Linked DNA regions of Tamandua tetradactyla. The protein of the gene in region 4 binds, or shares a complex with, the protein of the main gene of each other region. Links are inferred from orthologs where the notes say so. Each region holds a gene or a part of one and is shown on either strand. Other genes may lie near its edges.

Region 1 (8,103 bases), on a different chromosome or scaffold from region 4:
AATGGGGATGACAGCGGTACCAATATGAGGGGGTATTATGAGAATTAAATGAGATAATGTATGCACAGTGCCTGGGAAAATAGTAAGTACTCTATAAATATTATTATGAGTATTGCACATGAAGGACAATGGTATACCACGAGGAAATAATTCAGAAGCACAAACCTAGTTTGTTCCTATTTGAAAGCAGGGTTGCAGTGCAGTGGAGGACATGAGGCAAGGCAGCTTGTACCAGCTCCCATCTCGAAATGCTCTGGATGGCTTCGGAAAGGGCTGGAGAGAGGCCATGCAGTTTGTTTTCTACCAACACTCGTTCAAAGGACTGCAGATACAAAAACAAAAACAAAAACAAAACAAAAGCATGTAAAATAAGGAATAAGAGATTTTCATTGGTGGAGAAGTGGACATCAAGGTACTATATACCTCAAAAGATGCAAATCACTAGACAAGTTCTTTAGAGTGTGTTCATATTGTATTTCACTGTATATATCAACATGCAAATCAGTGGGTAGTAATAATTTCCTACTATCGATTTACAGGTTTTGATCTAATGTATATGGCTTGAATTATTAGACAATTTTTGTTTCCTTCAAAATAAGCTTCCTCTGGCAAAAAGTACAATACCACACTTAACTTCATGAGATTTTGAGTATAATATTTCCTAAAATATTGCTGAGTCATCCAAAGGGGTTATCACACCTGCAGATAAAAGTGAAGTTACTAACCTTTTGCTAAAGTGTCTAGAGGGCCAGAATTTATGTCAATATTCAACAGGTGTTAACTAAGATACAACTCTTTTAAAAATCTGATTTTGTGGTCTTTGATTTAACCTGTGTCTTCAACAATGGCCTGTTACAAGACACTCCTTACCTAAAGTCTGGCACCATAGAAGACACTCAATATATCTGTTGAAAGAGGAAGAGGAGAGGGAGAGGTAGGGAAGGAGGGAGGAAAGAAGATAGGAAGGGAGGAATGAAGGAAGGGAGGAAGGAAGGAAATAAAATAAGCAATTTTGCTTTTCTGGTTTGTTGATTCTTCTATCCTGGCCAGAGATAGTCTCGGAGAATGAAACATCAAATTATCAAATTATTCTGACTTGAACTAAATACAACAATAACTTACATTAAAAGTTCCTTATAAGAAAGTTGTATTTGAAAAAATTTCTGAGAAGTCTGAGAGGCAGACAATAAAAAAACTAATTCCTACTTAGAGAGAGAGAGAGAAAGAGAGAGAGGGGGAGAGTTTAACACTCCAGTTAGCTTTCACCATATTTTATGGCCCTACCACATTTCAGAATTTCCACCATATTTTGTGGCTGGCCCTAATGTATTTCAGAACTCCTAACCAGAGACGTATCTATGTAACAATTTGCAAATATGCATGCCAATATCTAAATGTGTAAGTATCTACTTTTAGGCTATAATATATGCAATGTAAAGACCTTTAGATGAGTTCTCAATTTTAATGAAGTCTGTGAAAAGTCCATTTTAAATTTTCTTGTTGATTTCTTGACTAATTTCTCACTGTGAAATGTGAGTTTTCAGGGACATGTTTACTTTGGAACTCAGGACAAGTGCACTCTACTTTGAATAAATATTAATAGCATTATTATCATAATTACTTTTTATTTTCTATTTTCAGGATTGGACAACACATGAAAGACATACAAGTTCAATACTTCATATTACTCTTTTGAGTATTCAAAGGCACTCTTCATATGAATTTTTATTATATAGCAGTCTTAACTTTGTTAGTTAAGGATGTGACTGCTATACTTGCTGGCAAGGTACTCCACTGCCCAGCTCTGTTATCACTCTAAATCCTCTTTTACTACTGCCTCCCTCCCCATCCCATCACTTACTCCCCACTCTAGTTTATGCTCCTTCCCTTTGCACGTCCCTCCCTTCCTTCCTTCAGATCTTTGTCTAGCAGTCACATTACCACGTAGACTTTACCCACACATCCCTTATAAAATGAAATCCTCACCCCATAATGATCCCTAATCTCCTTTCTGGCTTAATATTTCTCCAGAGCTCTTATCACCACCTGGCTTACAACGTATTTCACTTTATGTTTATGGCCTATCCCCACTTCCCCCTGGAATATAAACTCGATGTTTATTTTGATCACTGCTCTGTCCTCTGGACTTAAAAATATGCTTTGCACACAGTGGGAGTTTAATAATAATCGCTGAGTGAATTAATATTCACAAGCAGTATGATTTAACATCATTTTTTAGTTCAAGCTACTACATAGTATCTGAAATTAACCATTAAATGGTAAACATCACATACCACACAGGAGGCTTCATATTGCTTCCCCAGTTTAGGCCTCAAAAATGCACTGAAAAATTAAGAGATATTTGTTATAAATACAGGTAAAATAGTTTTAAGAAATCCCTGACTTTTTTTCATTGACTAGGTGTGGTGCAATGAGACTCAAATTTCATGTTTTCCCATAGCTTGTTAATGAGTAGATGTTGAACGGCTGAGAACATTTGCTTTTTCACATGTAATTATATATATGAAATAACATGCAAATCCCTATGGTTTTCTGTATCCACACTTATACTGAAGACTTTGCCTAATCAGATTCAAAATTTCCAGTGGTTAGAAGTGATACATTACACATGTGTACAGTCATATTTAAAACTGAAAAATGAACACGACTTATGGGTCATGATTTCCAGAATCTAATTTCCTATCTGATAAATCTCTAAATCACAACATTAATAAAGGAAAAATTGTTTCCTATTTATTGGAATAGATTTCAAACCTTTGCAAGGAAAAAAAATTATCTCAGGGGCTCTAACCAGGAAGGTTATACTGGCTGAATCCGAGCAAAAATGGTTAACAAGTGGGCATAGCAGATATTTGCCAAACAGAAGCTGGAAAAACAACAGGTCACTGGGCTGGAATTAGAACAGGAGATGGAGGGGGAATTGGACGCCGGAGCACAGGCAGTCATAATTATCTTCCTTAGTTCCCTCCCCCTCTTCCTAGGCTCTCTGCCCTCCCACCCCCTAAATGATGTGTATATTTATTCGACAACTGCCAATCTGCTTATCTTCAAACTTCATTGAAATATTTTTAAAATGCGTGTTTTTCTGAGGGTCCGAGGGCTTGTTTTCCAGCTCCAGAGAGGGAGCTGCAGGCTGTGATGCGGCCTCAGCAGCGGCGGCAGCGGCGGCGGCGGCGACCCAGGCGGCCCCAGGAGCGCCCCCAACCCAGGGCGGCCCGTGGCCCGCTCTCTGCGCCCCTCACCTGGTTTGCCGCCACAGGAAGGTCTGGATAGGCAAGGGGATGCCGCGGCCGCTGTCCTGCTCCTGGCCCTCGGAGCTCTTCCTCTTCACCATGATGGTGGCTCCCGGGAGTCCTATTGCAGGACCCAGAGCTGGCTCCGCGCTAGCCGCCGCCGCCTCCTCCTCCTCCTCCCGGTGCTCCCCCCAACTCTCATCCCCTCCTTCCCTGAGGCAGAGCGGACTATCTCCGCCCTGATCCCCCGTCCCTCTCCCCTTCCCCCGCACCTCCCCGTGCGTGGAACATGGCTGCGGGAGGAGGGGAGGGCTGGAGGAGCCGCGGAGCGGGGAGGGAGGCACTCGGAGGAGCTGTCCGCCTCGCCGCCCCCGCTCCCGCTCCTTGCTTTCAGCACCTCCCACTGTGGACAGCGGCCTTCGCCGGGCAGCCCCGGCCCAAAGGCGAGCCCGGGGTAGGTTCAGCAGCCGCGGGATGACCGAGGGGGTCAACGCTCTGCATCGCACGCTGATCCCGGTCCCCTGTACGGCCTCTTCAGCCGCCAGGATTAGGCTTCACCCTTCCGGGCTGCACCCCGGGACAGTACCCTGTCCTGTTTCCCAACCTCAGCATCAGAAGAACTGTCACGGTCTGGGGAGGAGGAGCTTTGGGGAACTGCAGAGCAGTCACTAACCCTGGCATCATTCGCACCTCTAGCAAGATTAGGAGTCCACTTTCCGGGTTTAGCAGGAAGAGTGCACGAAATTTTTTAAAGTGTAAACGATGAAATGAAGCAAGACTGGCAAGATAGAGAAACTTGAAAGTTCTCTGATGTGAGAATTTACTTTTTAATGATAGCCTCAAGAAATTGACCTTGTTTTGTCAAGGTGGTAATGAAAAGTTCCAAACTAAGCGATTGTAGTATCAGTGAAATGCACCTTGAGGAAGGACATTCAAATAGCATTTTGAGAAAATGTGTTTTACTACTGTGCATAAATATATTTCAGTGATCCTGTTTACCCTAGTGATATGGGTTATTTTCCCTCAGTTGTCATAGTAAAAATTCCTATAGAGTTTATAGTTGGCTAACTGTCAGCTGTATTATCCAATAGTAAAACATGGAGAAGGCTGGGGTGAAGCCATCTGAATAGAAAACCATGGTTGTAGACCCAACTACTCAAAAGCAAACAAACAAAACATAATCACACTCCTTTTTGAGCAAAGATATTGGTATAACCTATGAAACAAAGAATCAAATTCCATTTATACTTTCTGTATGACTTACCAAATGTGGATCTATACCATATAGTAAGACTTTTATGGCATATATTGGTACTTCAGCCAGAAATAAATTCTTCACTTACTTTTAAGAAATCATCCTTTAATACTAATATTAAAATATTGGTCTTGAAACAAAGAAAAATAGATTCTAAGCATGGTTTATTTAATTTATATTTATTGAGCCTATTTATATACCAAGCACTACACTATACTGACTCTTGCTTATAATGAACTCACAGTATTGAAGAGAAGACAACGATATAAAGAAAAGAGTACCATGGGAGAGATGACTGCAGGTTCAGTTACAGAAAAAGAGAAAATGCAGAAAAGATGGTCAGGGACCAGACGGAGAAAGGTTTAGAATGACAGATAAAGAGGTTTGGATGCACAGAAGCATGGAAGTTAAAAACTTCATTTGCATTTAAGTGTGATTGATGCGACAGCAATGTAAAAGTTGTTTGAAACAGGCAAGAGTATAGATGAGAACCCCAGTCTGGAGATTACAGGAAAATTCCATGAGATCCTGAACCAAAGCCATGATAACAGAGATAGAGATAAGATGAGTTTGAAAGACACTGCAGATATACAATATGATTTGATGGTCAAATGGGCATGCGGAAAGAGAATTAACAGCAAAGTGGCTAAGAGCCTGGGTCTTGAGCCATACAGTTTTGAATCCAGCCCTACTACTTACTAGATAAAATAACCTGGTAAAGTTAAAAACTCTGAGGCAAACCTCCCTAATAATAGCACCTTTCCCATAGAGATGTGAGGATTAAATTTCAATACATGTAAAGAAATTAAGAGAGTCCCTGATCTATAGTAAGCCTTCAATAAATATCAACGTAAGATCCAAGTTTTCTGTTTTAAGCAACTCAGTAAATGGTGATCTCATTCAAAGAGAGAAAAAGTTAACAGAGAAAATCATGCTGTTTTTTATGTTTGTGTACAGGAGCATTAAGAAATTTTCCTTGCGTACCTACTGGAAATCGCAACGGACATCATTAAAAGGCAGTTAGAAATGTAGACAGTGAGTTCAGAACAGTTAACTAGGTAAAATACATGGGTTTTGTGGTTGATATTCAATAAAAAAAGTAGAGAACTCATGAAAGCAGATAAAATAATGCAGATGAATATATGGAAATAGAAAAGAAAGGACGCAAGTTTTGGAGTACAGGAAACACCAACTTTTAGTGTCACAAAAGATGCTGATGATAGGTGTGATGGATTGGGTTTGGACCCAGTTTGGACATGTTCTCATGCTCTTGGTTTTGTTCCACATTCTGGTGGGTGTGAACCCATGGTAAACAAGATCTCTTTCAAGATGTTGTTTCAGTTAAGGTATGGTCCAACTGAATCAGGTTGGGCTTTAATCTGGGTTACTGAAGCCATTTATAAACAAAGTGAAAGTCAGATGGAGAAAAAGCTGCAGGGAAGAGCCAGAAGTGGAAGTCAAGAGACCTGAGAAGGCAAAGAGAAGACACCTTGTACACTGCCATGTGACAGAAAAGCCAAGGACTAAGGATTGTTGGCAGAAATCCCTTTGTTTGGGAGATTGTTGGGAGAAAGCATCACCTTGCTGAGGGCTCAATTTGGGACTTCTCCTAACTCAATACAACAAATTGCCACTGTTCAAGGCAACCACTGTATGGCTTTTTTTTTAGCAGCTGGGAAACTAAAACAGTAGACAACAAATAGCACAGGATACTGGTATAGGAAGAATTCTAAGATGGCCCTCAAGATTCTCATCCCCTGATATATACATCTTCTCCCAGTTATTCAATCAAATACTAATCTAGAAGCTGCTGTGAAAAAATTTTACAGATGTTATTAAATTCCTGAATCAACTGACTTTAAGTTTTATCTTTGGTTGGACTGACCTAATCGAATGAGCCCTAGATCTGGCTCTAGAGGCTAGAGATAGAAGTAATCAGAAAAATTTGAAGTTGCAGCAGATGTTCCCTTGCTGGCCTTTAAGAAATGAAAGCTGCCATGAAATCAACAGCTGCAGAACTGAATCTGGCCAACAATCTGAATGAGCTTGGAAGAGGACACCAAACCTCAGATAGGACTGCTGCCCCAGCTGACACCTTGATTTCAGCTTTGTGAAAACTGAAGCTGTTTTCACAGACTCTTAACCCAAAGAAACTGTGAGAAAATAACTTTGCTTTAAACAACTAAATCTGTGATATTTTTTTACACAGGAATAAATAACCAAAACACACACACCAAAAAGAAGAGATCAGAGAGGTCTAAGAAGCCAAGAGGGGGGGGAAAAAAAAAGAAAGATTCAGGATGGAAATAATGATCACATTAAAGTTCAAGTAAGAAAAAGACTGGAAAAAAGCTCATTGCATCAACTCTTAGGAGTTGATCAATTTAACAAAGAGTAGTTTCATTTCAGTTATGAGCATAGAAATAATATCTAGAAGACTGAAGAATAAGTGGAGAGTGGAGTTGGAAACCCAGCAAATGTTGATTAAAAATCAGTCAATGTTGTCTGAAAATAAAAGAAAGGGAAATACAAGGAGCAAGAGCAGATGCCATATAAGGACAATTTTTTTTTTAAATAAAAGACTTGAACATATTTATGGGTCAGAATCAAAGAAGTACTGAAGAAGTAAATATTGAGGACATTTGATAAAGGGGATAATTAATGAACAAGATTCTGGAAATTATATCTGGTGTAACAGGTGAACAGGTCATTTTTGAGTGAAAGACTGACTCCTCTTTTTCTGCATGGGAGATTAAAAGGAAGAATGGTAAAAGCTAGGTCTGTAAGGAAAACAGAAGGATGAGAATTTTGAGAGTTCAGGCTTAATGGCCTGCTTAAGTTGTGAAGTAATTGATAAAGTAATTTTCTTAATGTGATACTTGATGGGAGTGGAATAAAGTTAATTAAGAGCAGATAATGTTTATTGATCACTTTATGGTTCCAAGATCTGTTTTAAATGCAACTGATCTTCACACAAAAACATGTTATCACCATTTAAAAAGAAAACCAAGACAGGGAAAGATTGCAAAACCTGCCTGATGTTATATAGTTAAGTGAGGAAGGAACTGTGAAGTTCAATTTCAAAGTTCCTGCCCAACCTTCTGCTATAACATTGAGTATATTAGTGAGAGTTTGGAAGAATTGCCATGAGTTCCATAAATGGAAGTTGCTCAAGCACAAATGAAAGAATTGCTCTGCCGAGGGTAGAAAATGAAGAAGATGCTACATCATGATGCTTCCCATTCCAGAAAACCCTTTAGGCAACGAATCATCTGGGAGCAAAAGACATCTGTAATAAACACTGTCAAAATCAGTTTTTAAACAAACATTTTAGTGGAGAATCAAGATTACCATGCGTGCCGATGTGAAACTATTATGTACCCCCCAAAAGCCATGTTATAATCCTGATGCAATTTTGTGGGGCCAGACCTATTTTTTAGGTCTGTTATTAAATTCCTGAATCAACTGACTTTAAGTTTTATCTTTGGTTGGACTGACCTAATCGAATGAGCCCTAGATCTGGCTTTATTTTTTATTTATATAGTTTCTTATATAAAAGTTATAGAAACTTTTATTGTATTGTTTCCATGGAGA
Region 2 (7,958 bases), on a different chromosome or scaffold from region 4:
TGGAAGGTGGTGAGGGTACAACAACACTGTGAATGTGATTAATCCCACTGAATGGAATGCTTGGGAGTGGTTGAGATGGGAAAGTTTATATTGTACATATAGTCCCACAATTTAAAATGAAAGAAAGGAGAAAAGGAAGGAAGGGCAACAAAAGAGACAATGACAAGTTGAAGGCAAATACATGATCTTGGATGGGCTCTAAAAAGGGAGGTGAGAAGTCTCAAAAGGATTATCAGGATGTCTGAAAAAATTAGAATATGCACTGTTAGCTTCATATCAGTGCTAAATTGCTTCACCTTGATAACTGCACTTAAAGTGGATACATAAGTAAATATTCTTGTTCTTAGGAAACATATATGGCAGTATTAAGTGTTCGAGTACCATGATGTATACAACCTACCCTCAAATGTTCGAAAAATGGACTGATATTCAGACAGGCAGATAGATGAATAGATAGACAGATGGATCATCAGACCAATGAGTAGACTGAATGATAGGGCAAATGTGGAAAAATATTAAAACTGGTGGATGTGGTATCTGGGGGTAGGGGTATGTTGGAGTTCTCTGTTTGGGATTTGTATTATTTTTGCACCTGTCCCATAAGTTTGAAAGTATTTCAAAATTAAAAGTATAAAACTGAATGTCAAAAGAAGAAAAAAAATTGAATGGAAGCTTGAAAAATAAAATGCAAAAGTAACCATTTCATTTGGTGCACAAAATCTAACTGTCAATAATCTTGGACCTCAACTACATAGATCATCTTATTTGGCTTAAACTAATTGCATAAATAAAATGAAGATACACAAATATGACTCTCTATAGATTACATTCATCAAAAATAAAAGTGATTGTAACTTGGTCCAAGATACAGAACAATAGTTTTAAATTCTAAATTTGTAGGGAATTAAAGGATTAAAAAAAACAGCTGGGAGTAGAGAAAAAGAAGAAAAAAATGCATTTGATTCAGCCCCAGACGTTGCATTACTTAGTGTTTTCTTCCTTCCACTCTCGAAATATAATTTATGTGTCTGTGTGGGTATGTGTCCTTCATTATAGGCTCTCAACCTGCTCTGATACTCCATACACAATTAACTGCTGAGTAGGAGATAGCACTAACCCTCTAGGAACTATACGCTGTCCACAAGATCTCATGTACAGTTCAACTTTCTAAAAGGTAGCAAATCTTTTGGGCTAAGCACTGCCTTTCTTCCTCTAATTTCAAAGAGAGCTGAAACTATACCATGGACTCATAATCAATGCCAGAATTCTCGATGGCCAAACAAGATTTTTGCTAAAAGTATGCCTTGAGTATGATAAATAGTAGTACTAAAAAGAAGCAGTATAGCTAAATTGTTGAGAGCAAGTGTTATGGATTAGGCCTACCAGGGTTGAATCCTGGTTCCAACACTTATGAGATATGTAACTTTGAGAAAGTTAATCATTCTGTACCTTCGTTTCATAAAAGTGGCTATAATAAAGAGCTTATAGAATTATTACAAGGGACTAAATGAGATGACTCATGGAAAGTGCTTAGAACAATACTTGAAATATACTAATCACTTCATAATATAATAATCATATAATAATGATATCATTAGTAGTAGTTGTTGAATTTTTCTCCCTTTGAAAATGGACTCTGCTCAAATGCATAAAATCTTTTCCGATAGGCCACTGAAACATACTACCTTAATACCAGTTTCATCATTAAAATACTATCACCCATGACCATATTCCAATGACCTATTGCTTAAGAAAATGGAATCTTCATCTTGCAAACATGACTTCAGTATTCTAAATTTCTTAACTCTTTGGCACAATAACTAAGCCTAGGCAGTAAGATTCGAAGTGCCAACTAGGATGCCATGGTTTCTTTGCAAATGGAATTCATAATCTGCTTCCCAACGAAGTATCCCTCACTTTGAAAACTTTCAGAATTTGTAATAAAGGAAAACCTTTGGGGAAGACTGACCTTAAACATGAAAGAAGAATTCAAGAGAACAGAATTAGATGCCTTGGTTTATAAACTTTTCTGATTATAATGACAAAAATTGGATTCATTTTTCCAATGCAATTTGAAAGGAAGGGAATATCCTTTCACAGGGTCCTACATTTACTTCGCAAGTTTGAAATTTGTAAATCTGATTGCCAGAATCCTTTTAACAGAAATGGACAAAGAGAATTCTAAAGAAGAAAAGAAAGTTTAAAGAATAACAAGAAAACTGAGGCAGCAGATCCGAAAAGGCTTGACCATGTGCAGCTTCTTTCTACAAAGCCTTCAGCCTGACTGTGGCAAAGTTTTAAACCACTGGAAAAATCCAGCCCCACTACAATCATTCATTTCCTAATAATACTTGCTTTATGAACTTTTTTGCTGTGATATTGCTAAAAGAAAGAGTAGAGTTCAAGTTAACTTATATGTTTCCAAAATCAGATTTGGAGTAAGAAGATCATGGTAATGCAGGAGACCAAGACTTAGGATTTTATGGAAAGTGAAGTGTCCTTTTTTCTTCAACGTTATTTCCCAAGCAATTGAGACTTCAGATTCATCGCCTGCTCGTTTTTCCTAATGAGAAGTGTGAAGCAAATAGGGCCCTCTTCTCTCTCTACCTTATGGTAAAAGCAGACAATATCAAAAGAGCTCCCATGCTTTTGTTTCTTTATCCTCTAAAGAGTTACACAGAATAAAAATAATTGTTATTGCCATACATTATACTTCAAGAAATAGGAAATACAAGTGATGAGCCTAAAGTGCTAATTCTGATTTTCCTGAAGACCAAAGGTATTTCTTACTCTTAGTTTTAAACCATGAAGGTTCTCCTTTGAACCACATTCTATTTTAGTGTCAAACTTATCAATTTATCATTTTATAAATCTCTTGAAAATTTGTTCAACTGAGAAAAACAGGCAATAGCCATGCAACCCATTATTTTCAATCAAGCCTATGATCCAATATGCTATATACACCCAGAGAATTGAGTCCAGACTCTTCTGGCAGAGCACTAGAAAACCTAAGGCCCTTAAAAACTTTCAATTCAATACAAATTTAGGCCCCAATAAGTTTAGCAGTACTACCTAATAATTCTTTCAAAGTAGAGGATATTTTAAAGCTTACCTTAACAAGGTCTGAGAAAAGTATTTCAGAGTGTTTGCAATATCTGTTCCTGAAGGGACAGGATAAATGTTGTGAAGAACCCGGTTATGATATTCTTGCAAGTACCGGATCTTAGAAGCAACTAGATAAAAGCAAAATAAAAAAAAAAGGAGAATTATCTTGTAATATGTATTAGGCATACAGTTATTCTTTTTCAATGATCAAATATTGGATTTTAATGCTTATTTTAAGGAAAATATGTAAATTTTACTAGAATTCCATGATAGAAACAATTACAAAAGACTTTAAATTTTTTATAAGTGTATTCAGCCCACAAAATTATTTTGAGTTATATGGGTTAATATCCTCTTCACACAGTATCCATTACTTTTTTATCACTCAAGAAAGCAGTGCTCTAAATCATTTTATTATCATCCCCACATTAACTTATTATTAGCAAAGTATTAATAGATAAAAATCTCTGCCAGCAGAGAATTATACTTAATATTGGTTAACTAAAACTGAAGAAGAAATTTCCAAGATCTTTCAGCAACAGACTAAAAATACTATTTAAAAAAATGAGGCCATTGCACAATGGCATCAGTTGAAAGCAGATTTTTAACTCAATAAATGATCATGAAAGTGTTTAGTTGATGCTTAAATTGTGAAAGTATGTTAAGAGTAGAATAACTTGGCTAATATTAAGTAAGAATACAATGATTGTGTGGATAATAAAAATACAAAAAATGAATGTCACATTTTTCTGCCAAAGAATTTCTTAAAATAGGAAACTTCCTAAGAGCCTTCTGAGCTCAGATGCTCAGATCATCACAAGATTCAGGAGGGACTAAACAGACTTATTTACCCTCCTAGACCTACCTGTAGTCACCAGCATTGTCCACATTCCTGACCTGACTTTTGACCTGGCTGTGGTGAATGGCCCAGTTCTAGTCATTCCTCTTTGCAAATCCCAAGGAGCCATGATGATCAACGTCTCTCTGGTCTCCTCTTCCACAGAGTTCTCAACACTGTCCACTTGTCCTTTCAATCTTTAAGGCTACCAAGAGAGCCTTTTAGGTAGTATGGCTCACTGTCAGCAGTTAACAGAAGATATATCAAGTCCTGGAGAAGCAAGGCCTTGTTGTTCCCAATGGAAATAAGCTTCTGGATGAATTCTAACTGAAATGCTGCTTTAAGCAACTTAAAGTCAAAATGCTTTTGATAGGTGTGGGACGTAGAATCACAAAATGATGAGATATCAGAACTGGGAGGATCTTAGAGACCTTTTCCCACAACCACTTCTTTGTTTGTTTGTTTGTTTTTGCATGGGCAGGCACTGGGAACCAAACCCAGACCTCTGGCATGGCAGGTGAGAATTCTGCCACTGAGTCACCATTGCACCGTCCACCACTTCATTTTAAAGATGGGGAAAACGAGGCACACAGGTAATCAGCAGCAGAACTAGGTCTAGAACTTAGATCCCCTGACACCCAGTTCGGAGTTCTCAGAACACAATTCTGAAATGAGTTTAATATGGAGATAATGGAGTTTTATTCCATGACATCAAAGCAGTGTGGCAATTTTCAGCTGTGATTAGGTTAATCATTGATTCTAAATCCCATATACACCATATAGCAAATTTGCCTTTTCTCTCTTTTACTATTTCCATAATATGTTTTGCAGTTTCCCCAAAAATTACATTTAGATTGCAGATAATAATACCTTGGGTTTGTATGGTCCACCAGCTCTGAAGAAAGCAACAAGTTTATATCCATTGTCTCAAATAACCCTAAAAGTGTTTGGTTGTAAATAAATTTTTTCCCAAGATAAGGTATAAATAGGTAATGCTTTAAAATGTTTTTAAGTATGTCATCTATAAAAATCCATTCTCATCTCAGTGTTTTTAATCAGCTACTAATGGTTTTTTTAAATCACATTATAAGGAACACCCATCTTATTACATAGATCCCAGTTTCAAACATCTGAGACATGTGCTTTCTGCCCATCCACCTTCACAGTAATGCTTTCTTACTGTAACTTTTCTCAGGCTTCATTATTCAGTAGATTTCTGCAGAGTATTTCAGAAATACCAATGGAAATGCAATGTGTGGAAAATAAGCTCAAGTGAGGAGAAAATTAACACATCCCATAACTCACTGACTTGCTCATAGCTCAAGAGGTAGGAAATTGTCACTACACAACAAAAATAGCAAGCATTCAAAAGGTTGTATAATGAATGAATGAATGAATAAATGAGTGTTCTCTTTATGGTTCATTTTGTTAAATTCAACAATAGCTCCTTTCAATATATCCAAACATCAAGAGAAAGCACAGGCTACAGTCACTTCCTTCTTTGAAATCTTTTAATATTTTTTTTACAAACTTCACATTATATTGTCTTTGCTTGTTTACTTACCTCTTCATTTTTCTATACCAGACTGTAAATTTCTTGAAGGCAGAAATTGCATCTTACTCATGTCTCTATTCCAAGCTTAACAAACTGCCTGGGGCTTAGTGGGTGCTCAGTATACTTGTAGGATAAATGAGTAAATGAATTAATGCTTAAATAATAGTAGTTATCACTTGGTTTTTGTTTTTGTACATACACATATCTGTCCCCAACGCCAAATTGTGGGATCTTTTAATCCTTACCAGTGCCAGACACCAGTAGGTGCTCTAAAAATAATTAACGAATGAAGATGGGAAAAAAAGGAAGAAAGAAAGTGGGGTGAGAGAAGAAGAAAGAAAGTGGTAAGTAATTGTGAAAGACAATTTATAGAACAGGTAGGAAGAAATGTTCACGCTCCTCTGAGCATTGATGAATGCAGCTAAATGGAAGTCATGATTTAACTTTGCTGTTTTCAACTCTGACAATAGCCAGAAAGGGCCTGACAAAGAGTACTTTGTAATTGTACTGAGGATGTGACTATAATTCATTTGCATTTTAATCTGGTGCACAAGAGATGCTTATTTCCTGGTTAATAAGCCCACATGGCACCCTCATGGCAGCACAGAGTTCTTATCGTTTGCACCAAACAACCATAATAGCAGAATATTGCCGCAGAAACTCAGTTAACTGGGCAGGATGGAGATAAACAAATGATCTCTAACCCCAATTGACCCTAAAGCTACATTTCTTTAGAAAACTTCTTCCACTCTCTTCAATCACTATTTCACTACTTCTCCAGGCTCTTCAAACTCCCCCATGCCCACCTCCTTCCTTGTACCTTAAGAAAACAGAAGCCATCATATAGGCATTTTTATAAAAGGATGAATAAGAGTTAAGAGTATGAGATCTGAAATCAAACAGTTTTGGACGAAAGTCTTGGTTCTATCTCCACTTACGTTTTTCTCATCTCTAAAAAGGGGATAATCATAATATAAGCTTCAGGGTTGGATTTAAATGTCATTACCTCAGAGGGGTCTTTGCTGACTTCTCAGTCATAAACTGATCCCCTAGCCCCCACCTAGCCCTCAATGTCAATTTTTCCTCTGACATTTCTTTTATATTAATTAGCACAATTTGTAATTATATATTTATTTGGGTGGATGCTTACTATCTCTCCCAAGTAGACAGTGAGCTCCAATAATCATGTCTTTTGTTCACACTGTATATACCCAGTGTCTGGTGAGTACTAAATTTGTTGAGTTCATCCTATTAAAGACAAAAGGAAAAGAGGCAGGGAGGAAGAGAATGGTTTTAAGCAGTGATTAAAACTTTGGTTCTTTGTAAAAGTAGCCAAGAATGCAAAAGGTTAACACTGATAAAAATGAAGAATAAAAAAGGGGTTCTAAGACAGTGATGACTCTTATCCAGATTAGACAGAAGTAAAATCTTTGTTTCCACTATTTCACTATCCATCCTACCCCCACCATCTTTTAGAAGCTTTGGTACATTTTGAAAGAGCCACAAAAACAAAATTCTCATTCATTTCAGGCATAGATATAAAACTACTTTAGTAAAATTGGGATCATATAGTACATAAGTTTTAAATTTTTTCTTGAAATTTTAAGCATTTTCCTGCCACTCAATATTTTAACAGCAACCTATTCCTCTCTTTAAAAATGTATTTATGTATGCTTAATATAATAAATGTAAAAGCTTTTGTAAGCACAATGCTTTTGTGCTTACAAATAAATAAAAATCATCTAAAGACCTATTACTCAGAAACGACCATAATTAACATTTTGGTGTATTATCCTTGTTTTAGGTTATTTTTCACTATTCTAATTCATGCTGCAAAGAGTTTCCTTTCAAGGATGTGCAAACATAGTTAATTATTTCCTTAGAATAAATTTTTAGCTGAGGAATTGCTGAGTCAAACAGGAAATATTCATTTTAAGGCTTTTGATAACAATTGAGAAATCGCCATGTGGAATTTCTCTTTACACACCAGTATTGTACATATCATTAAATGTGAATAGTAACAATATATATTGAATGCCTACTAAGTACCAGGTGCTCTATATACATTACTTTTAATCCTCACAATAACTTCGCCAGGTGGTTATTATCATTGTCAATTACAGTTGAATAAACCAAAACGCGAAAGAGTAAATGACATACCCAAAGGCGCAAAGCTAGTAAGTGATATTTTAACTGGCTATAAACCAGGCTTTTCCACCAAGCTACATTTATATAGTTATGCCATTAAATGTTAATACTTTCCCCATTTGTCATTGGTTTCCAATAATTCATTAAGCAACATCATAATAACCAGATGAAATATTGAACTAAATCTGTTTTATTGTTTTTTGTGTTTTTTTGGAAATCACAAGTCAAATGCATGGTTAATTCACTAGCCCCACCCTTTTTCCTTGAAAACTTTAATCCCTTAATCCTTCAAGGCCCATTTGGAGAGTACAC
Region 3 (7,658 bases), about 6.7 Mb from region 4:
GGGAAAAATGCATTAAGTTTAAGATCCATTTATCAAATGAAGTAGCATTCTAAATTAATGTTATAACCACAGCATTACTACTTTCAAAGAGGATCTCTACATCTCCTTTTAAAGAATGTTGACAAAACAGGGTTAACTTGAGATAAGCATAATTATCAAATGCACAACTAATCAACCCAAAGTAAAAACTGGCCCTTGAACTATTTTAATTTTTAATAAATATCCATTAGCTCAGTTATCTTGTCAAAATATCACAAGATCCTTTTATCCATCCTGCCCTTGATTGCACTTTCCTAGCAAAAGCAAGTCAGGCAAAGAGGCAGAGTTGCTCCATTTGTGTGAGGAGTTGGGAAAGTAGGGAAGAAAAAAGGAGAGAGAGAGTGTTGTGTAGTACATATTTTGAAAACTATTCTACTTTTATGATATTTCTTATTGTAAATATTAGAAACATTTAGGCACATTTAGGCTTACTCTGATTCTGTCTTCGTTGCTCCCCTACTAAAGGTCACTGCAGTATCTTGAGCTTCACCAGAGCTCCTGGGCAATCGCATTTCAGCACCACGAACAGCGGCTTTCCCCTTAAAGCTAGCAGGGATAGTGGCATTGGCCATTTCTTAGGAAACCTGCATACACTTCTCCCTTGCCAATCAGTAAGAATTTTATTCTCAAGTATATCCAACAGAGGGTGACTAAAATGCAAGTCAGTGAAGAGTTTGGTAAATTTTCATTCTTAACATGGAGGCTTTGTCATTTGCAAATTCTAGTGAGAATCTGAAAATTCAAGCTAATTACATAAGATGCCTGATAAATAAACTGGCACTGATAAACAATCACTAAGTTCCTAATTACACCTCTCCACTAGTAGTTATTCTCAGGTCAATAATTATAGAAAATTTCAAGGAAAAAAAAAGAAAATTAAAGAGACTAATAAACTCAGGTAGGCCCCCAGATTTTCCAAACAAGTAGAACTACCCCTGTAAAACAATAGAATGCTTTTTCCCCCTCCATGAACAGCTACAAACACTTCCTGACCCTCATTTCAACTTAAGGATGTCACTATAACAGAGTTCATGTGTCCAAATCCATTTGTCAGACCATACAGGCCTGTCTGTCTTCTAACTTTAACTGTCGCCATTAGTATGCATTCCTATCGCTGTCCTCCTGACGAGTGCAAATCCCATATTTAAAAACAAAAAAGAAGGAAACAGACTTAAAGTCTATTTAGCCTGGTTTTAAGAGAAAGTTATAGTAGCAGCTTTATTATTTCAGAAGACTGGGGTCTTCTCCGATCTTCCAGGGGTTACCGAGAAAAGAAATCAATCCACCAGGTCCCTGACAACAAGCAGAAGTTTAAGATCTTAAAATCACGGTAGCAACTGAAGTAACAAAACCAGAGCCAAAACCGAGCAAGCAAAGATAGAAAAGAGCAGGAAGGGGGTGGGGTGGGGTGGCGATCCACTGTTCCTACCTTACAGTCCTCAGGACACGATTTCACCGAGTACTCCTCCGACTGTAAATACTTATGGAGCACACTCTCAAACTCTTCGTATTTCTCCTGAGCGTGGTGGTCGTAGTCTTGGTAAGCCTCGACGCACTGCCGGCAGGCGGTCATCTCGCCGTCCTCCTTGAGCACCACATCCAGACTGCAGTTCAAAGTGTTGGGACTGGACAACCCCGAAAACAACTCCCAAAGTGTGTAGGAATTACAAAACGAAAGGTAAAAATCCGACAAGTTCCAGAGTGGAGTTGGAGGCTTCCCTCTCACCTGCTGCTCCTCCCCCAAGGCAGCCACCCCCCGACTCCAGTTCCTGGCGCACACAGCGTCCGCATCTTCAACCGTGAAGCACTGGCCCGAAGAGGCGCCCTGGGGGTAACAAGTCTCCAGGCGCCACACGGGTCTGGCAGAGTTTCCTAGAAAAAGAGCCTTGCTCCGGTTGTTTTTGCCTCGGTTGCCCTTGCCGCCGCCGCCGCCGCCGCCGCCGCCACCGTCGCCGGGGGAGGGGGGCAGGGTGGGGGACGAGGAGGCGGAGAGGAGTCTGTGTGCCTGGGCGGCGGGCGAGGACTCCCCCATGCTCGCCAGGAGCGCCGGCCAGGAGGGCTCCTGCTGCCGCTGCCTCTGCTGCTGCTGCTGCTGCTGCCGCTGCCTCTGCTGCTGCTGTTGCTGCTGCTGCCGTTGCTGCTGCTGCTGTTGCTGCTGCTGATGATGCTGCTGCTGCTGCTCCTTGTCCCGGGTCCGAGTCAATTTGGCCTCGGCGCAGAACCACAAGTGATCAGAGAGCAGGACTGTGAAAAACAAGAGAGATGCCAGAGACAGTCGCCATTTCTGAGCCCTCTCTGAATCGGTGAACGGTTTCTCGTTCTCCCGGGGTGCTGCCAACCAAATTTTTAAGCCGTCGTCATACTGCCGACACATCCAAGCACCCCTGGTCATATTTTGGGAACGCACAGCCCTGGCCGACTCCACCGTGAGGGCTCCTGTGCCGGTGTCACCACAATATGCATTGACTTAAAGGGTTTAATTTCCTTATCCCCTCCTCCCGTTTCTTCTCTCTCTCTCTCTCTCTCTCTCTCTCTCCCTCTCTCTCTCTCTCCCTCTCACACTCTCTCCCTCTCTTTTTTTTCTCTCTTCTTTTGCCTACAGAAATATCACCAGGCTTTGAAGGAAAATCTGACTTGCTTCCGACCTAATCATCAGCAGACCCCATTCTCTGTAGAGGGAGAAACAATAATGCAGAGAGAGAGGGAGAGAGAGAGAGAGAGAGAGGGAGAGAGAGAGAGAATGAGAGAAGAGGCGGAGGGGGCTGGTGCTGGTGGCCGGTGGTGAGGCTGAGTGCGGGAGGTGATGGTGGAGGTGGCGGGGTGGCTGGCGCTGCTCCTCTCACCCAGGCATGGTCAGAGCGCGGGTCCCCATGGTCCGGCTGAGGGCAGCCCGCTCTCCCCCGCCAGGGGCATGCCGCGTCTTCGCTGCCCACTGACGGCGACCGGAGCGCCTCCCCTCCTCCTCCTCGCCTCCTCCTCCTCCTCCTCTTCTTCTCCTCCTCTTCCTCCTCCTTCTTTTCCTTCTTCTTTTTCTTCTCCTCCTCCTCCTCCTACTTCTCTCTCTCTCTCCCCTAGTCCAGAGCCCGGGCAGCAGCCGCCGGCAAGGCTCTCCCTCCCCCCCACCCCCCACCCCGCGCTCTAACTGCTGCTGCCGCCGCCGCCGCCGCCGCCGCCGCCGCTGCCGCAGGTCTGCCGGCCGCCGCCGCCGCCTCCCGGGCTCCCGCTGCTGACGCCGCTGCTGGGCTGCTGCGGCGGCCGCCGCGCGCCGTCTCCCCCGGACCTCGGGGCCGAATCGCCTGGGCTGGGTCTCTCGAGAATCACAGTCATCTTCAGTCCCCGGGCTAAGTTGCCGCCATCTTCGTCCTGAAGAAACACTTTTTTGGGGGGCGGGGGGGTGGGGAGCGCTGGCTTTTGCGTCATCTCCTCCCGCTCCGAGATCGCTCCATCCTGGCGCATTGGCACCAGATTCGGCCCAAGGAGGAGGGCGAAGGAGGAGGAGGTGGGGGCCGACTTTGGGGAGTGTCCCCCAACCTGGGCACCCTGGGTGCAGGTTCCTGCTCTTTCTCTTTCTGCCTCCCCCTACCTCCCCCCCCCTTTTTTTTTTCTTTTCTCACGGAAAAAAAAAGTCAGCAGGTGGACTGTATGATTGGGGTTGCGGTTTAATTTCTTCAGCATCTCACCACTCCCGCTCCTCTCCACCCCTGGGAAAAGTATGAGTTTCGGGCAGGTGTGTAGGGGTCGCTGGTGGGGGGGGGGGGGGGCGGGGCAGGGCCTGTGTTTTGCCGTCTTAGTGAATGGTCTACTTCAATTTAAAGGGTGGGAATCAGGGGAGTAAACACTAGCTAGAGGAGAGACCTGGCGACATTTGGTCTCTTTGAATGTGCCTCGGGACTCCTGGAGATCAATTGCTAACGGTGTTAACTTATTTTATTGCAAGGAAAGGACGATATATATGTGCGTGTATGTGTGTGTAGCCATATGCATCTATTACAGTTACGTATCTGTCTATGTTTTCACATTCGAAAGTAGAAGACTCATAGTCTTTGGGAAAATCACGAAAACCTCCACTACCTCGAGTCACTTCCTTGCACTGCTCTTCCAGTTCTGGGTCCTAACCTCAGGGGATTCCTCCTTCGATTTGGAGCGCCCCAAGCTCTTGCGAAACCACCCAACCCACCCCCAAGTCGACTGTCTGCATCCCAGCCCCCACCGAGGTGGGTTTTTCTGTTCCCCAGGACTTCCGCAACACTGAGTTTGGCTGCCTGGGAGTCAGTCACCGCAGTCCGGGTCTCTGGTGCCCCTTAGCGTTGGCTCTGGGCTTACCGAGAAGCAAAGCAACCAACAAGCTTGGAAAAATCTGGGGTCCCCTCGATCCCGGCGCGTACCGGCTATTGTTGAAAGCAAACTGCAACATCATTTTAATCAAAAACCCTACCCACTCTGGCCCCCATCCCCCACCTTCACCGGCAGCCGGCCGAGCTGGAATGTTGGGCTGGTGCCGGGAGTTTTCTGTACTGGCTCCAGAAGGAGCGCTGCGCTGTCAAGAGCTCTCTCTGGTGGCTGCTTATGACCTGCAGTTTGCTGCACGGGGCACATGGCTGTGTCGATCTTTCCCGGCTACTAATGATCCTCATACACTGCCCGGGTGCACATTCAGACCCGCAGTGCTACAGTGCCCTCGTTTTAGAAACCAAAGGGGTGCATCGCCCCTATTCACCTTTCTTTGTCAGGGACTGCGGGTGTTGGAATGGAGAAAAACAGCATTTTTTTTTTTAAATGGGAAGTGGCAAAATACAATATCAGGATACAACCAACCAGTCTCTTCTGTGGCGTAACAGGATACATCCTAATTTTATTGTTAATCCTCTTTTCCTAAAAACTATATGTATTAAACTGGGCCAGGAAAGATGGGTCCAGTTTGGTGGCTGTTCTATAAGTATGTCACAGCAATGTTTCAGAGTATCTTCGCATAACTATCCGATTCTGGTACATTGGCTTTAATTGTGTTGAAGTTCATTGCTTTTATAAAAGCTCTAGAAACTACCAGATATACTGTCTATGGAAAGATACCAGATATACTTTCTATGGCGAGTTTACTCTTACCTTCAAGCATCTTTAAATCAGCAAAAAAGTGAAAGTAAAACGTGAGAAACTTATTGAAAGCTATGTATCTGAACCCTGCTTAAACTGAGAAGATAATCTTGGAATTTTATCTTTTGATTATTTAAATTACTTTGATATTGAATAATATGTATTTTTGGACGACGATTTGTATAAAGATATCCTTTGGGCAAGTTGCTTAAGATCTTGGAAGATATTTTATTTTGTTTTACACCCTCTCCTCATGATATTCTCTTAAATTTAAAACTTCAGTCCTCTTCAGTCAAATCAAATTGAAATATGATCTTCATCTGAAAGACCACATGTAGACAAAATGAGTAGAAAGAGTGGCGTCTTCTATTGTGTAAACAATTGGTTTTGGAAGATAATGTCAGAAATTTACACTTCTATTTCTCAATAAAAAAAGATTTTGCAGAACATAAAAGTAAAAACACATTGTTTTATAAATTCTGAAATCATTCTCTCCCCCTTTTGTTTGGAAGTTTGGCTTTCTGATGTCACACAGATTAAGTCCAAGAGTCCTATGCTTTTCTTTTTATAAGTTCAGGTTTGGAACTTTTTAAAAATTAAACCTTTTTTTTTTTCACTTGTTCAAGTTTCTCTATCTCTGTCTCTCTCTCTCTTCTTTCTCTTATTCGCCTTCATCTTTGCCTTTCTTCACGCTGTATCTTACTAACTGAAAGATGCTGCCTAGAAAGATTTATATTTCTCTTTCTCTCCTGCATGCAAGATAGAAACCTCAGAAAACCTATGGCTGGGAAACCCAAAGGGTGTCCCTGGGCTGGGGAAACTTCTGCTAAAAGCTTAGGGCAGATTTAGACCTACTTTCAGGACTCAGGGATCATGTGAGAGAGACTGGCTTTTAAACTTGAAAAAAAACAGAGCCCTTCTCTTACTCCAGAAGGAGGAAGGAGAGCAAAATGATGATTGTAAATGTTCCAAGTCTGAAATATCTAAATGGACGTCCACTCCCCAAATTTGTACCACGACCCTTGCCCCCACCCGACCCTTCTTCCTTTTGGACTCCATCTACTTCTATACCTTTCATTTGGACTTTCAGCTTAGGTGACACCTAATTTTGTTCATTTATTAGCAGAACTATAATTAACAGAACTATAATTGGTTAAATATAAACACTTTAGGTTTTCTTTAAAAAAGAAAGTGGCAGACAGTTCTGCTGAAATGGAATATCATGTTGTATTTAAAATATATATCCAGTCTTTCTTTTCCTGTGGCCAGTATACCTTTTATTTTTTATTAATACTAACTACATTCCCTCAACCTCACTCCAGATTTATTTTCAGCTTTAAATTTTGTGTCCTCTGGCCTGGAGTTGTGCTCTCTGTTGAGTGATCCTGCTGTTGTCTCATAGATTTGTACAAGTCCCAAAGCTGTCTTCTGAAGCTAAGGACCAACAGAGCTGTTGGGCTCAAACTATTTACAAGTTCTCTGAGAGGATTACTCATCCTCTCCACCACTGAAATTTCCAGTTGGATAATTCTTTGTTGTAGGGGCTCTCCTTTACTTTGCAGCTTGTTTAGAAGTATCCCTAGGCTCTCCTCACTGGTTAACAGTAACACATTTCTCTCAAGTTCTGACAACCAAACATGTCTCCAGGCATTTCCAAATATTTTTTGGGGGCAAAATCATCCCCTGTTGAGAACTACTCAATGTCTCAAAGTAGAAGTTCCCTAATTTATATATCCATGGGGGAATTTCTGGCATCAGGGATGAGGCTATATCTTCTTTGTATATTCAAGGAACTAAATGCAGAACTCTTCATCTAGAATAAGCACCAAGTCATACATTTCTTGTTATAGAATATAACATATTTATAGTACCATAGTGTTTTCTCTCTTTTAATGCAATTTTATTGAGATATATTCACACACCATATACACCATTCAAAGTATACAATCAATGGTTCAGAGCATCATCTTATGGTTGTGGATTGTACACATTTTCATTACTGCAAATAAATAAATGAAAATTAAAAGAACACCCAAAAAATCAAAATGCTTTATCCCCCCATTATATGTACATATATAATATGTATATATATTTGTCTTAATATTATTACTCATCTACCCATACACTGAACAAAGGGAGCATCAGTCACATGACAAAAGCTATTATTGTTATACAATTTTTATCCAAGATCCAGGCTACTGGGTCACAGATGAAAAATTTCAGTTATTTCCCTCTAGCTATTCCAATACACGAGAAACTAAAAGAAAAACAAAACTATATATTGAATCAGTAATCATATTTTAATAGTCTATAAAATATTGAAATCTCTTTAAATTCTCTACCTGATACAAAGTTAAGGGGGAAAATACAGTTATTATTTAAAACCAATTGATGTAAAAATATTATTTATTAATCTGATAGTTTACTAATCAAGTAACTTTCCTTTCTGTACTTTTCATGTGGAACTTTAGCCACAATATCATAAAGCAAACCAAGATATATGTGAGTGTGTGTGTTAGTGTATATAT
Region 4 (7,803 bases):
AGCTACAAATCAACACTGTGGTAACCTAATCTACAGAAATATGCTTATATCTGTATAACTTTCAAGGCTTGGCATGTTTAAGAATGTAAATAGGCTTAACAGCCAAGAAAGACAAGGAATGAGCACAGATGTTTGAAGGTGGTATTTATTTACAGTTGGGATTTTCTGTGCGTGCGTATTTATTAACAGAGAAAGATGTTCACAGAATGCTGCTGCATGAAAATCCTGGCCACAGAACAGTGCGCAGGCATCCATTTAAAAATACATATGTGCAAAGACATAAAAGCAAAAGTCAGGGATGAGGAGTGAGGGATATTTAACTTTCTTTACCCTTAATTACCTTCTCAAAGTGTGACAGGGAAACAACACAATGAGCTAAATGCCCATTGTTGAGTATATGTGTATGCGTGTATGCATGTATTTGTGTGTATGTATCATGAATAGGATGGCAGATAAATAATTTCACTTGTATTCATAACAGCCCCACAATTCGTGTATGTAAATGATCAAAAGAGTAGTTGTTGATGTTGATGTGTTGACAATTCTAATAACATAGAATAATTAAAAATAAATTACTGACTTCTGTCTTCTCTAAGGGCTTCTTAGAATAAAATAAGTATTGTGAATCTACTAAAGTGGTAGTTTCTCCTAGTCACATGCTAATTCCTAAGCATTAAATCTTTTTGTTATAACAAACAAATCAAACACTCAGACAAAAATTCTTCATGAGTTAAGTTAGGGAGTTTGGAAAACCTGATATCAGATTGGTAGTACAGAGGCCACAATTGGAATGAAGGATTTGAAGCAGAAGAGAATAGGTTGGAGGATGGCAAATAATGATATGTTTAACCAATTCAAGTGGATCATGTGGATGTAAGTATGAAAGAAAGTGAAGTAAAAACCAGTGGAACTAGTGTCCTGGAGTCATAAGGCTAAATAAAACAGGTAATCTATAGACTCCAAGAATTGTTGTTTACTGGTATATCTCCAGTGCCTAGCATAATACGTGATACCATAGTGAATGCTTAATAATCACTGTGTGAATGAATGAATAAGTGAAAAACAAGTGGGCCACCGGAGAGATAGTGTCAGTGTATTGGGAAGTTGATTTTTTATATATGTCCTTTAACAGCCATATTAAAATGGCTCATGTTTCTGGCAGTCCAGATGTGAGGTATCATGACCAAAAAAGACCCTAGTAAGGAATAAATTAAAAGAAGCCATTCGACATACATGGAATGAATAAGAAGTTATCTTTGAGAATAGGTATAAAGGGTGTTTTTGCCATCCTTCTGACTGCATGTGGGGGTGGGTGGAGGGGCAAAAAATTATGATGCAATAAGGATCTGGGAATTTATAGAAGAGCATAAAGCAGAAGGATATCTGATTTTATGATGCTGAGTTTTAAGGATGATAGTGTTGATATGGCCTGTATCTGAAGGAGAAGCAGCACAGATATGTGACTCATTAATAGTAGCTGGACACCAGCTGATAGTAATGGAAACTTTAAGAACATATGATGGCATAAATATAGAGGATAGGCACAAGAGACAGCAGGAAAAGGACATGCTGTAAACTATAATTTAAAAGATAGAATGAGACCATTCAAAAGACTTGAATGTGTACCCAGGAGAGTTACAAAGAAAGGAAATTACCTGTAGAATTACAAGCACCTCACAGTTAAACAAAACTGAATATTGTAGCTTTTGTTTTGTCAAGAAAGAGCTTAATGATCTAGAGAAAATATATGCCAATAGAAATAAAATTGCTATCATAGAATACAAAATCTTAAAAGAGAGCAATGAACCAAAGTTTATTTTCTCCCCAAGTTGCTATAAGCCATTTCCAAGTGAAAGATTTATCAATAACCATATTGTAACCGTGCAGCCTCTATCTCACTATTGAATTATTTAAATACCAATTTCTTTTAATACATGTGAAAAAGCTGTTAAAAGCTGTATTTTTCAAATTTAGTGCACTGCCTTGTGAAGGATACTTCTATAAACAGAAAAGATATATTGGCTTTTTCATACATAATAGTGATAAGACTAGGATAACACAGAGCAATTTCCCTTCAAAATAATGAGCTTACCTGGGAGACTTAGCTATCCTTACCGGTCCTTATCAGGGGAAAAATAGATTTGCTGCAGTCAATTGTGTTGATTCAACATGTGTGAATTTTTAAAACTACACTTCTGTGTGCAAAGGAAAAGTATTAAAACAAACCACCTCACATCTATTTGGATTCTTTAAATGTTTGTAACAAATTTATTTTGCTACTTGAATGCTTTATATGAATTATATATAACTTAATCATTCAAGATTTCTCCAATTTAGGAGATAATTGCTGAGTTTTTTTTATATATATATAAATTAACCAAGTTCCTTTGAAGTTTGTAAACATAGTGTCTTTGACACTTTTTGATTTGGTAGCACCTTTGCTGCAGATAAAATGAGGGTAAAAGTGGGTGAAAAATAATATCATTCATTTATACTTGTACTGACTTGGTTATATATTAAATATAACCAAACTGAGGACGTTTAAAAGAAATTCTGCGTGTGTCCTTCTCTAGGTAAGCAAATCAATAAACGAAATCATTTTTGCTTCAGGTGGTATATTCATAATAAAAGGTACATCAAATGCATGTGTTAAGGTGACACTTTGTACATCAGAAATTTTCCTGACCATAAATGATTGCCAGATCATTGCAAATAAAGGGCCATCTTGAAGTCTCTACTCCTGGTGAAGGAAGTATTGTGTCTAGGCCTCTAAAATTTTCTCCTCTAATCCTTAAACAACATTGTGAAATTTATTTTCTGTTCTCCACTGTTATAAGATTTCTTTAAAAAATTTACATCCAGTCTTTGGATACAGGGAAGACTGTTGAAGAGGCATCCCAAATTGGCACCACCAGATTTTTACCACAGTAAATCAGAGAACAAGGATCATTTGAATATTTTGCTTATATTTACATATCGGTGTCAAAAGTTGCTAACTCCAATTATGTAAAATAAAATTAATTACTGCAGCTCACTGCAAAGCCCATATTCAAACCCAATATTCAGAGCCTGACAGACTTCAAATACCAAGCATATCTGAAAGCCAATAGCTTGATTTCATTGGGAATTGGAGGGCCAGGCAGCCCACATGGATTAAGAAAAACACAGAAACAGAGGAGGACACTCAAACGTGGGGAGACAGATTCAAAACAGCTTTGCCTTGAGCTTCTGCATTGTCATTTTTTCCCAGTGAAAATTGTGATTACGCACATTTATGCATCCTGCACCCTCCTATACCCATGTGAACACATTCTTGCTTTTTTGTGTTCTGGTAGGTACTGACTGGCATTCTTGTTCTCAGTTAGTTTTCTTCCTCTAGTTCCTTGAAGCAGCAGAGAACAAGTCTAGCTTCTTGGTGTTAGAATTGCTGTTTTCCCAGCAGTGCGTTTCCACAACTGTATGCTAGCTGGAAAGCCCTGTCCGTTTCCTTCCCTGCCTTTAGAAATTCTTCCAGTCAGTCCTCAGAATCAGCGTGGTTGACTATAACCAGCTTAGACTTTGTTGTAAGACAGGGCTTGTTTTAAATTTCAAGTTTGCTTAAGTGGGCTTGGTCAAGTTGTGGCCTGCTTTGAGGCTGGGATTTCTTGTGCATCCATACAAAGGAGAAATATTGCCTCTCCAAGGACTGTTACAAAGAATAAATAAAAGATCATTGCTAAGTGGCCAAAACCTAGTTTATATTAAAAAATCGTTTCTCTCCTTCCTTTAAGTCTTAATTCAGGTGTTAATCAAGTGAGAAGTCTCACTGTGGACTCGGGTAATAAGGTACCACCCCCGCAGCTTTTATAATGTCTCTTCTCACATTAAACTGCACTCATTTGCTATGGATGTCCTGAAGGACATATAACAGGCCCTCCTTCAATGGCTACTGAGTTCTGGAAGGTAGTGATGATGGTCACAGGAAGGTGAAAGATGTAGCAGGATGCATATTATACAAAATTGTGAAACTTAAACGACAAGCGGGTGTCTCAACTCCCTCTGCAAAGTAATTTGATAAGGGATTTACTTCAGAGTAGCTAGAAGTTTCGGAATAATTATAGCATTCAATAAAAAAAAGTGGAGGAGGCTAAAGTGGAGGAGGCTATGCCCCATTCTCTCTGGACCCTTTACTCTTGGCAAGGGTGAAATTGAGAGATTAATTTGGGAATACCATCAGAATAGAGAGATGTCTATGAGCGCCATATTAAATTAACTCAGGAGAAAACCCTGGGGGAGCTATATGTATTTCATCTGGATTAGACAGTACACTGGCACAGTCCACATTTAAATGGATATAGCTCCTGGTATATGTACACATACCTCAGCATTTCCTAATAACACATGTGCTCTAAGAGGCAAGCATATTTTACTCTAGCTGGGCTTGACCAGTGCTGTCTTAACTGGGATCTACCAGCAGGTGCACAGGTGGCCTGTTGGATTGGGAAGGAAAAAAAATGAAAGCTTGTGTGAATATTAATTTTTACCACATTCTTTTAAAATTTTGATTTGCATGTGTTTTATTATATGCAATATAGTAGAACATGTATATATACTCTATAAATGCATAAACATGTATAGGGGACTCCAACTTTGTTTGTTGATAAGGGTAAAGATGGTTCGAATGACTAATACAGCTTTCTCTTTCCTTTCCTAGACTGTTGTTTTGTACTTACTAGCCTAAGCTAACTTCAGCATGCTCAAAAGGAAGCAGAGCTCAAGGGTGGAAGCCCAGCCAGTTACAGACTTTGGTCCTGATGAATCTCTCTCAGACAACGCTGACATACTCTGGATTAACAAGCCAGTAAGCTTCTTTTTTGAAGTATAGAGGAGCACATGCTCATATAAGGAAAATTTGATTCATATAATTCACAGATCATGTACCCTTGGCTTTGAAATGTCTCTTTGAGCTGTGGTAGAGTAGGATGAGATTTGGGGTCTGGGGGCTGAGGAAAATTCAAATGAAATTGAGGTGTCACTGTGAGTTACTCATATGGGAACATATGTGAGGCACTCTGGCTCCCCCCTCCCCCATCTGCACACCCTGTCCCCAGGATCGCATGCCAGATAGAGAATATACCACACCTCAGGCTGGTCCAAAGCTGGAGGTCAAGGTGAGTAGCCTGTTCTTCACAAACTTTCTTTACTCATAGCTTGCAACCTGCATAAAAATCTGTGAGAAAATAATCAAAAGTGTGGAATTTAAGGTCTCCTTCTGAGGTGCAGGTTTGACTACAAATAAAGGTTAATGAATTAGCGAATAGTGTCAATGAAGAACTTTGTGACTTTCTCTGATGAGAAACTGGGTGAGAACTTGAGGGGAGGATCTGCTATAACAGGCATCGTTGTAGACTAGACAGTATAACAACCAGAACTAAGCTGAAATGGCACATTAATGGGTCTTGGAAACTCGGCTCTAAATACAAAGTAGGAGCAACTTAATTATTAAACTCATAGTGGAGGCTGAGGTAATGAAATGACAGAACTGCTACCATTCTCAGTCTCTTTCCCCAACTATGAGAAATGCTTCATCTCCCTGCCCTTTCTGAATCTTTCATCCTCCAATCTTTCTTCTAGATTACTTCCCCACTTGACTGAGATTTCCTTCTACAACCCAGATTTTCTCACATTACCTTCTGCTGTACAATCAGTGAAACATCCCTATTGCTACATTGTAACATTAAATGTGTTAGTATTGCATTCAAGACTCTTTTTCTCTGGCTCTCAGCTGTCCGGTGACTGCCCCTTTCCCTTATCTGTACAGTCTATGCTTGAGTTTCCTCAGGTGACTTCTTATTCCTCCAAGTTCTCAAGCTGTTTGCATTTGCTCCTTTTGCTCATGCTGTTCCCTTGCCTGGAAAGCCCTTTCCAAGCTCCTCTGATGAGTGAAATCCTCTTCATCCAATAAGGCCTTCTCAGATGTTACCACAGCCTCAAGTCTCTTTGAAAGCCTCCTCACTTCACCCTCCTCACCACAGATAAAATGAACTTTTTTCCTCTGCAGCAATTATTCTATTTTATATTTGCCTATATGTAATATATATATATATATATATATATACATATATATTAAAAAAAATATATACACACACACATATACATACACGTATTTTTTATTAGACTATGAAATAGTAATGGGTCAGAACTGTGTTGTTTCCATTTCTATGTCCTCAGAGTCCCACATAATTTCTGACACATAGTATAGGCCTTCATTTATAGAAAATTGAAAGATATAGAGAATAAAGGGATCAGAGCCATCAGAAAATAGGACCTTCCACAAATCCTTTCTTAATAACTTCATCTCCAATCCTCACTTGTCCTGTAATGACCGACTGGTTCCATGTTTGGTTAAATCCTCACATGGAGCACTATTCTCTGCAGTTTCCCTTTCTGGAAGCCCCAAATTTTCCAGAACATCAATTTTTGGTTTCTTTATACCCAAAAGTTCAGTTGTTAGGTTATCCCTTTTTTGTCACATTTCACTAAAAACTGCAAGGAGAAACCAGGCTTCATTTTCTACATTCAGTTTAGAAATCTCCTCAGGCAAGCATCCCAGATCATTGAATTCAAATTCTCCCTTCCATCCAGCACCAGCATTTAATTTTGCCAGATTCTCTGCCACCTTAAAACAAGGGTCACCCTCCTTCCAATCTGCAGTGACACATTCCATATTTCTGTCGAAGGCTTCAATGGAAGTATCTTTAGAGTTCATATTTCTACCAACTATCTCTTCAAAGCAATCTAGACTTTCTCTATCAACCCCCTCATGATTCTTCCAGAATCCCTCCCTTATCCATTTAAAAAGTTGTTCCAACATGTTTGGTATTTGCAAACACAGCAGCACCCCACTCCTCTGGTATCAAAATCTGTTTTAGTTTGCTAATGCTTCTAGAATGCAATACACTGGAAATCGGCTGGCTTTTATAAAGGGGATTTATTTAGTTACAAACTTACAATTCTTCAGAGGAAAGGCAACTAGCTTTCCACTGGGTTTCTCTGTCACATGGAAAGGCATATGGCAATGTCTGCTGGTCTTCCCTCCCAGCTTCTGGGTTCAAATGGCTTTCCCCAAGGCAATTCCTTTCTGCATCTCCCAATGTCTGGGTCTAAGCTCTCTTCTTACCACTCTGTTTTTAGCTCCCAGCTAATTAAATCAAATTTCACTCATTGTGAAAGGCACTCCCCTTAGCCGACCACAGATGTAATTAGCTATAGATGAATTTCACATCCTGATGATTTAAGTCCATTGCGGCAGAGCAACTGGACACCATCCCCTCACCAGTTTGGCACATGAACCTCAATATTACCCCATATATATAGCTTTCTGAGAACTTCTGAAGAAAATTGTATTCTAGCTGTAGCCTATGAGTCACTTACTAAAACATTAATGCTTAATTTTTAATTCTTCACATTTTAAAACTGGATATTATAGAGAAGAATTCACCTTTGAAGTTCATTCCTATAATTAGATCCATTATGTTGGAAACCCTCATGGTGCTAAATTCATACACTGATTTTTTATTTAGAATAAAGAAAAACATTTTTAATTGTGAAATATAACAAATATGCAGAAAAGTTTTAACTTTCAAAGCACAGTTTAACAAGTAGTTATAGGCAAATTTCAAATTATGTTATGTTCCACAATTTCAGGTATTTCCTTCTAGCAGTTCTAATATACTAGACTAAAAATACATATCAATGTAATGTGTCAGTAGCCATAATCTAGTCAGTTACACCTCCTCCATCTCATTTGATCCTTCTCCCATT

Evidence for each region.
Region 1: the proteins of NALCN (region 4) and UNC80 are in contact, whole or in part, in a cryo-EM structure (PDB 7SX3), measured with the Homo sapiens proteins. The link is inferred for Tamandua tetradactyla from reciprocal best matches to the Homo sapiens genes NALCN and UNC80. Residues at the interface, in NP_001337678.1 of Homo sapiens: Asn639, Met643, Val644, Ile646, Lys648, Leu649, Pro650, Phe653, Val655, Pro656, Lys657, Ile658, Arg659, Glu660, Phe662, Met663, Lys664, Gln665, Phe666, Ile667, Arg669, Val711, Ser713, Arg715, Ala716, Arg717, Leu719, Lys722, Glu723, Ala725; in NP_115893.1 of Homo sapiens: Lys1979, Asn2004, Glu2005, Cys2006, Asp2007, Leu2128, Arg2129, Leu2130, Pro2131, Pro2134, Arg2135, Ile2138, Asp2139, Phe2142, Phe2145, Ser2146, Glu2179, Asp2184, Glu2185, Met2187, Leu2188, Asn2191, Asn2194, Ile2198, Leu2199, Glu2202, Ser2226, Leu2227, Ser2228, Gln2231.
Region 2: the proteins of NALCN (region 4) and UNC79 are in contact, whole or in part, in a cryo-EM structure (PDB 7SX3), measured with the Homo sapiens proteins. The link is inferred for Tamandua tetradactyla from reciprocal best matches to the Homo sapiens genes NALCN and UNC79. Residues at the interface, in NP_001337678.1 of Homo sapiens: Gln349, Met350, Phe351, His352, Glu353, Gly358, Trp359, Gln360, Leu361, Phe712, Ser713, Ile714, Arg717; in NP_001333147.1 of Homo sapiens: Cys861, Gln862, Ile865, Glu968, Pro969, Asp970, Phe1020, Gln1022, Pro2088, Asp2089, Ala2092, Pro2093, Leu2095, Leu2096, Met2099, Leu2139, Pro2141, Asn2142, Gly2143, Ile2144, Gln2147, Leu2148, Ser2151.
Region 3: the proteins of NALCN (region 4) and NALF1 are in contact, whole or in part, in a cryo-EM structure (PDB 7CM3), measured with the Homo sapiens proteins. The link is inferred for Tamandua tetradactyla from reciprocal best matches to the Homo sapiens genes NALCN and NALF1. Residues at the interface, in NP_001337678.1 of Homo sapiens: Cys207, Val209, Asn220, Leu222, Ala223, Ile224, Pro225, Thr227, Tyr237, Pro240, Phe243, Tyr406, Glu409, Phe909, Ala1044, Lys1045, Asn1047, Pro1049, Arg1054, Ile1060, Arg1062, Ile1063, Asn1064, Val1065, Ser1066, Lys1069, Lys1080, Lys1081, Gly1083, Phe1084; in NP_001073865.1 of Homo sapiens: Lys278, Glu281, Phe282, Val285, His287, Lys288, Tyr289, Leu290, Gln291, Glu294, Tyr295, Ser296, Val297, Lys298, Ser299, Tyr308, Trp311, Leu312, Gln315, Leu335, Gln338, Thr339, Cys341, Phe343, Ile344, Leu345, Pro346, Asp347, Asn348, Asp349.

The regions. Positions count from the first base shown.
Region 1 is NC_135329.1:185,114,474-185,122,576, reverse strand, and holds the start of UNC80 (protein unc-80 homolog), read right to left. Parts: upstream 3,356-8,103; coding exon 3,264-3,355; intron 2,344-3,263; coding exon 2,295-2,343; intron 323-2,294; coding exon 166-322; intron 1-165. UniProt on the Homo sapiens protein: Auxiliary subunit of the NALCN sodium channel complex, a voltage-gated ion channel responsible for the resting Na(+) permeability that controls neuronal excitability.
Region 2 is NC_135338.1:54,433,940-54,441,897, reverse strand, and holds the start of UNC79 (protein unc-79 homolog), read right to left. Parts: upstream 3,234-7,958; 5' UTR 3,113-3,233; intron 1-3,112. UniProt on the Homo sapiens protein: Auxiliary subunit of the NALCN sodium channel complex, a voltage-gated ion channel responsible for the resting Na(+) permeability that controls neuronal excitability.
Region 3 is NC_135330.1:177,385,740-177,393,397, forward strand, and holds the start of NALF1 (NALCN channel auxiliary factor 1), read right to left. Parts: upstream 3,151-7,658; 5' UTR 2,432-3,150; coding exon 1,469-2,431; intron 1-1,468. UniProt on the Homo sapiens protein: Auxillary component of the NALCN sodium channel complex, a channel that regulates the resting membrane potential and controls neuronal excitability.
Region 4 is NC_135330.1:170,714,864-170,722,666, reverse strand, and holds the start of NALCN (sodium leak channel NALCN), read left to right. Parts: upstream 1-4,708; 5' UTR 4,709-4,732; coding exon 4,733-4,840; intron 4,841-7,803. UniProt on the Homo sapiens protein: Voltage-gated ion channel responsible for the resting Na(+) permeability that controls neuronal excitability. NALCN channel functions as a multi-protein complex, which consists at least of NALCN, NALF1, UNC79 and UNC80.